Linked DNA regions of Oryctolagus cuniculus. The protein of the gene in region 1 purifies or fractionates together with the protein of each later gene. This does not show direct contact. Links are inferred from orthologs where the notes say so. Each region holds a gene or a part of one and is shown on either strand. Other genes may lie near its edges.

Evidence for each region. The genes of interacting proteins can lie anywhere in the genome.
Region 2: the proteins of AFG2B (region 1) and TIMM13 purify together in Homo sapiens (co-immunoprecipitation; 3 studies listed by BioGRID and IntAct, with this or other methods). This does not show direct contact. The link is inferred for Oryctolagus cuniculus from reciprocal best matches to the Homo sapiens genes AFG2B and TIMM13.

Annotation. Positions count from the first base shown.
Region 1 is NC_091443.1:68,055,066-68,058,465, reverse strand, and holds the end of AFG2B (ATPase family gene 2 protein homolog B), read right to left. Parts: coding exon 3,291-3,400; intron 1,246-3,290; coding exon 1,078-1,245; 3' UTR 825-1,077; downstream 1-824. UniProt on the Homo sapiens protein: ATP-dependent chaperone part of the 55LCC heterohexameric ATPase complex which is chromatin-associated and promotes replisome proteostasis to maintain replication fork progression and genome stability.
Region 2 is NW_027208270.1:74,012-77,257, forward strand, and holds TIMM13 (mitochondrial import inner membrane translocase subunit Tim13), read left to right. Parts: upstream 1-1,583; 5' UTR 1,584-1,725; coding exon 1,726-1,845; intron 1,846-1,932; coding exon 1,933-2,001; intron 2,002-2,489; coding exon 2,490-2,588; 3' UTR 2,589-2,704; downstream 2,705-3,246. Other genes in the region: LMNB2 (lamin-B2), read left to right, coding at 373-489, 736-777. UniProt on the Homo sapiens protein: Mitochondrial intermembrane chaperone that participates in the import and insertion of some multi-pass transmembrane proteins into the mitochondrial inner membrane.

The sequences.
Region 1 (3,400 bases):
GAGAGCAGTGGACAATGGCCCAAGTCCTTGGGCCCCTGCACCCACATGGGAGACCTGGAAGAAGCTCCTAGCTCTTGGCTTCAGATCAGCCCAGCTCTTGACATTGTGGCCATCTGGGGAGTGAACCAGTGGATGGAAGACCTCTCTCTCTCTTACTCTCTAACTTTCAAATAAATAAATTAAAAAAAAAATACATACTTAAGTAGTAAGGGAAAAAAGGGGCATAAAGTATATAATCTGTTTCACATCATTTAGAAAAGTGTGTATATGTGTGCCTAGATACAAAAAGGAGAGAAAGCCCACAAATATAGCAAAAACGTTAAAGACCAATGAATCTGGGTTAGACTATATAAGAGTTCTTGGTACTGTTCTTGTAATTTTTCTGAAAGAATGAAATTATTTCAAAGCTAAAGAAAGGAGCCGGAGCCGCGGCTCACTAGGCTAATCCTCCGCCTTGCGGCGCCGGCACACCAGGTTCTAGTCCCGGTCGGGGTGCCGGATTCTGTCCTGGTTGCCCCTCTTCCAGGCCAGCTCTCTGCTGTGGCCAGGGTGTGCAGTGGAGGATGGCCCAAATACTTGGGCCCTGCACCCCATGGGAGACCAGGAGAAGCACCTGGCTCCTGCCTTAGGATCAGCGTGGTGCGCCAGCCACGGCGTGCCGGCCGCGGCGGCCATTGGAGGGTGAACCAACAGCAAAGGAAGACCTTTCTCTCTGTCTCTCTATCTACTCTGCCTGTCAAAAAAAAAAAAAAAAAGAAAGAAAAAAAGAAAAGAAAGGAATCAGCCAAAACCAGCTATCCTTATGACAAAATCAATACACACACTTCTCAATTACATATTTTAATAACATATGCCTTTTTTTAAGGGTGTCTTTAAAAGCTTTATTTTTTTTTAACTTTTATTTGAACATATGCCTTTTAGAAATAAGATGACCCTTAGCTTATCAGGTTCAAGTTCTCCTTATTTAAAGGACACACACACACATACACACACACTCTGAAAGTGTGACGTTGCAAACTGTAGGCAAAGTCCCATTTCAGTTCATGTAAACAACCCAACAGGGGTGTAAAGTGATTTTTACGTATCTTCTAAATTAGCAAATCTTTCTTTCTTAAATAAGTTTTCATATAAAGTCAAGTCCTCGCGACTTAAAGATGGTTTTACAGTCTTTAGTGATTTTAGAAAATGCTCCTGTTTCACCGTGGTTGCTTCCAGTCCATCTTCTTGCAGAGCAAGCAAGGCAGCCTAGGAGGGACAAGCAATAAGACAACATTTAATTGGCTTCATATTTTTTTTAAGGTAACATGGCCATACTATAAAATTTGAATCCAAAATCTCAGTTTCATTTTTAGGATTCCAATATTTATGTCACTAAAAACATTAAGCTAACAAATTTAAAATGATTAAAAATACATGTAGCATAGACTGTAATTTCTTCTCCATTTAAACTTTAGCCTTAAATGGGAAAAGAGCCAAGTTGCAGAATAATAAATATACTACAAGTCCATATATATTTTTGAAAATGAGACCATATCTTCTTGGTCTTGGAGTAGTAAGAGTTTCTAAACAGCACTGATCATAAATTTAAGGAAAAAGATCAAACACATATTCTAGGACTTTGCCATTCTCATAGCTATGAAATAGATATAAATACACATGTGCATCTAGAGACATGTAATAAAGGAGAAATCCAAATGCTCAAAAGGAAAACAATGAATAAATATAAATAAAATGCAGAGTAATGGGACCCGTGCTGTGGCACAGTGGTTAAAGTGGCTGCCTGCAGTGCCAGGATCCCATATGGGTGCTGGTTTGAGTCCTGGCAGCTCCACTTCTGATCCAGCTCTCTGCTATGGCCTGGGAAAGCAGTGGAGGATGGCCCACATTCTTGGGCCCCTGCATCCACATGGGAGACCCGGAAGAAGCTCCTGGCTCTTGGCTTTGGATTGGCGCAGCTGCGGCCGTTGCAGCCAATGGGGAATGAACCAACAGATGGAAGACCTCTCTTTTTCTCTCTCTGCCTCTCCTCTCTCTGGGTAACTCTGACTTTCAAATAAATAAATAAGTCTTTAAAAAAATAAATGCAGAGTATTAATATACTAGAATATTATAAAGCAGTAGAGAAAACTATGGCTACATACAAAATCATGGATGAATTTCAAAAACACAGTCTTGAGTTAAAGGAGCAGACAGAAATAACATGCACCGTCTAGTGTCATCTGTGTGCAGATCAAAGGCAGGCGACACTGATCTCCAGTGCTGGAGACCGGGACAGCAGACCACTTCTGCGAGCAGGCAGGTGACAGATGAACGGAGAACAAAGGAACGTTCAGGGAACTGACAGTGTTCAGTTGGTGGTTAGAATAAAAGTGTGTTCGCTTTATGTCAATAACTATATCCTTTTGATCTGTGCTTTATAAAATGTTATATTTAGGGGCCGGTGTTGTGGCGTAGCGGGTAAAGCTGACGCCTGCCATGCCAGCATCATATATGGGCACTGGTTCAAGTCCCACTTCTGATCTAGCTCCCTGCTAATGCACCTGGGAAAGCAGCAGAGGATGGTCCAAGTCTTTGGGCCCCTGCACCAGCATGGGAGATCTGGAAGAAGCTCCTAGCTTCAGATCAGCCCAGCTCTGGCTGTTGCAGCCATTTGGGGAGTGAACCATCGGTTGGAAGACCACTCTCTCTCTTTCTCTTTGTAACTCTGCCTTTCAAATAAATAAATAAATCTTTTACAAAAAGTTATATTTAGCCTAAGTTTATGGGAGAAGAAAAGCCTATAATGGTTTCTTTTGCCCTCAAAAATAAAACCTAATTGCTTTCAAGTACTTACAAGGACCTGTGAGATCTGGCCATTGTCTACTTCATCAGCTCCATTTTTTGCCATTCTCCATTCTAAGATTCAAGAGTGTCACATCCTCTCCTACTGCCAACCCTCTGCACACTGTATTCCCTCCCTTAGCTGTTGAACTCCCTAATCATGCTGCTAATTTCCTCACTCAGAAAGCCTTCCCTGGTCCCCAAGTCTGGGCTGGTATTCCTCTAGGTACAGCAGCACCCTAAACTTCCCCAATGCACTACACGGTCACTACTGCCAGTCCAGTATGATGATCTGCCTCTGCACGGCCCCACCTCCAGCCTGTGAGCCCTGTAAGGGAAGGGGCTGCATCTGTGCCTCACATGGCGTGCACCCACCACTTAGAAGTCTCAGAAAACACTGCCAAGTGGATGAATGCAGGAATAGAAGAAGGAATGTTTTCAACTACAGATTTCTTCACCAATTAACTTACTTCTCTGCAGAGGTTTCTCAGGTCAGCTCCAGAGAAAAAACAGGTTTCTGCTGCTAGGTTTTCTAAGGAAACATCAGACCCTATTGGCATACTTTTTGTACAGATTTCTA
Region 2 (3,246 bases), on another chromosome or scaffold:
CGTGCGCACGGTGCTGCTGAACGCGGACGGAGAGGTGCGTGCGTGCGGGCAGCGGCGGGGGGCGGGGGGCGCGGGGGGCGCGGGCTGAGCGTGCGCACGGGGCTGCTGAACGCGGACGGAGAGGTGCGTGCGGGCCGGCGGCGGGGGGCGGGGGGCGGGGGGCGCGGGGGGCGTGGGCTGAGCGTGCGCACGGGGCTGCTGAACGCGGACGGAGAGGTGCGTGCGTGCGGGCGAGCGGCGGGGCAGCTGGGGCTGGGGGCGGCGCGGGGCGGGGGGCGCGGGCTGAGCGTGCGCACGGGGCTGCTGAACGCGGACGGAGAGGTGCCGGCGGCGGGGCGGGGGGCGCGGGCTGAGCGCTGCCCCCGCCTGCAGGAGGTGGCCATGCGCACGGTGAAGCAGTCCGCCGCCGCCGTGCGGGAGAGCGGTGACGGAGACGAGGACGGGGACGAGCAGGCTGAGCTGGGCGAGGAGGACCTGTTCCACCAGCAGGTAGCGGGCGGGGCGTCCCGCGTGGTCCTGGCTGCGGGCGGGGCGGGGCGGGGGTGTCCCGCGTGGTCCGGGGCTGTAGGCGGGGTGGGGGGCGTCCCGCGTGGTCCTGGGCTGCGGGCAGGGTGGGGGCGGGGTGGGGGCGTCCCCGCGTGGTCCCGGGCTGCGGGCGGGGCTGCGGGCGGGGCCTTCCCCGGAGGGAGCGCCCCGAAGGCCGGGCCTGGGGCCTGACGCGCGCCCTCCCCGCAGGGAGACCCCCGCACCACGTCGAGAGGCTGCCGCGTGATGTGAGCGCCGCCCCGCCCGCGGCCCCCGAGGACTGTAGTTTTCTATCATTGGCTTTCCCCACACCGATACCATTTCCCGAGAATTCTTACAACTGCGGGCGCGGGCGGGGCGGGGCGGGGCGGGGCGGTCCCGGGAGGCGCCAGCAGGGCCCCGCCTCGGCCGGGACCCCCGCCCGCACCCCTGCCCGCGAGCGCGGCGGGCGCCCAGGGACGCTGGCGCTGCGGGGGTCGCGGCCGGGAGCTCCCGCACGGCCCCGTCGGTGCGTGGCTCCTGTCCGTCAGCCGCGGCCCGGCCGCAGGAGCCTCCCACGCACAGACGCTATTTTTTTAATGGATATTTATTTTTTTACATGGGTCAGCCCCACCCCTCGGGCCGACCGCCCAGACCCCCGCCCGGGCCCCGCCCCCGCGCTGCCCCACGCGCCCCCGGGGCACGCACGCCTCGCGCGCAGGGAAGTTGTCTTCACCCCACGCCTTCCCGCGGCGGGGCGGGAACCCCGTGGCCCTGTGCGCGTGGGCTCGGGGGGTCGCGGCCCTGGGGGGGGTCCCGGTCACGCGCCCGGATGCATGCGGCCCCTCCCGTGGTTTGTAACGCATTTTACGACTGGAACCTTTTGTACAACAACACTCCAATAAACGTTTTGATTCTAACCGCGGCCGCTCGCTCCTTCTGTCGCCGGCCCTGGCCACCTCCCCTCGCCCTGGGCGTCCAGGCCGCTGTCGCCTGGGCCGGGCTTTGCCGCGTCACGTGACCTGGCTCCGCCCCAGGCGCGCGCGGGAGTGCGCAGGCGCGACGGGATTCGGCGGAAGCGTGGCGCCTCGCGCATGCGCGGGCATTGTGGGAGTTGTAGTCCGCCGGCCGGCTCCGCTTCCCGTGGTGCCCCGCGCGGCGCGACTTCCGGCGCGGAGACGGGTCGGTGCGCGCGGCCACAGTCCGGCTGACTGCGGAGCCATGGAGGGCAGCTTCGGCTCGGACTTCGGGGGCTCGGGCGGCGGGAAGCTGGACCCGGGCCTCATCATGGAGCAGGTGAAGGTGCAGATCGCCGTGGCCAACGCGCAGGAGCTGCTGCAGGTGCGGGCCGGGGGCGGCGCGGCGGAGGCGGAGGCGGAGGCGCCCGGGCTCGGGCGGCGCGGCTGAGGCCTGCGCGTGTCTCCGCAGAGAATGACGGACAAGTGCTTCCGGAAGTGCATCGGGAAGCCGGGGGGCTCCTTGGACAACTCGGAGCAGGTGAGTCCCGCGGGGGCGCGGGGAGGCTGTGTGCAGGGGCGCGGGGTCCCGGCGCCGGAGGGGAGCTGTGTGCGGGGCGGCGGGGGCGCGGGGTGTCCGTGTGCAGGGGCGCGGGGCGGCGGCGGGGGCGCGGGGTGTCCGTGTGCGGGGGCGCGGGGTCCCGACGCCGGCGGGGAGGTGTGTGCGGGGCGGCGGGGGCGCGGGGTGTCCGTGTGCAGGGGCGCGGGGCGGCGGGGGCGCGGGACGCCGGCGGGGAGGGGGCGCGGGGTCCCGGCGCCGGAGGGGAGGTGTGTGCGGGGCGGCGGGGGCGCGGGGCGGCGGAGGGGGCGCGGGGTGTCCGTGTGCAGGGACGCGGGACGCCGGCGGGGAGGGGGCGCGGAGTCCCGGCGCCGGCGGGGAGGCCTGTGCGGGGGCGCGGGGTCCCGGCGCCGGCGGGGAGGGCCGGGGCGCGCGCGTGTCCCCGGCTGAGCCGCGTGTCCCCGCCGCAGAAGTGCATCGCCATGTGCATGGACCGCTACATGGACGCCTGGAACACCGTGTCGCGCGCCTACACCTCGCGGCTGCAGCGGGAGCGCGCCAACCTGTGACCGAGCCGGACGCCGCAGGCCGGGCGTCGGGGCCGGGTCTGGACCTTGGTGGGGAGGGGGCGCTCGGGCCCCGCTCCGCTGTGACCCCGCGAGGGCGAATAAACGGCTGAGCCAGCGCGGGGACCCGCATTTCTCTCTGGGCGCGGGCGGGGGAGTGCGGTGCCCGCTGCGAGGCTGCCCCCCCGCCCCCCCCCCGGCCCCGCGCGGGACAAGGAGGCGCTGAGCCGTCGGGCTGCGGGCGGGAGCTGTTTATTGGCACAGGCAGGGTCACTCCTGGATGTTTTGCGCGATCCAGGCTCTCACCGCCGCCACCCGGGTGTAGACGCCGGGGAAGTGGGGCCGGCCGCAGCCGTACCCCCAGCTGGTGACCCCCGTTAGCACCCAGCGGCCGGAGGGCTCCCTGCAGGCCAGAGGACCCCCGGCGTCGCCCTGAGGGAGAGGAGGAGGAGGAGGGGGCTCAGCGGAGGCCGCGGGGAGGGCCCGGGACCCCCGGCCGCCCGCTCACCGAGCAGCTGTCGACGCCGCCCTGCGGGAAGCCGGCGCACAGCATACGGCTGCTGATCTGCACCGGGTAGAAGCGGCGGCAGGTCTGCTCGCTGAGCACGCGCACGGCCGCCTGCTGCAGGTGCCGCGCCATGGCGCCTGCGGGGAGACGCCT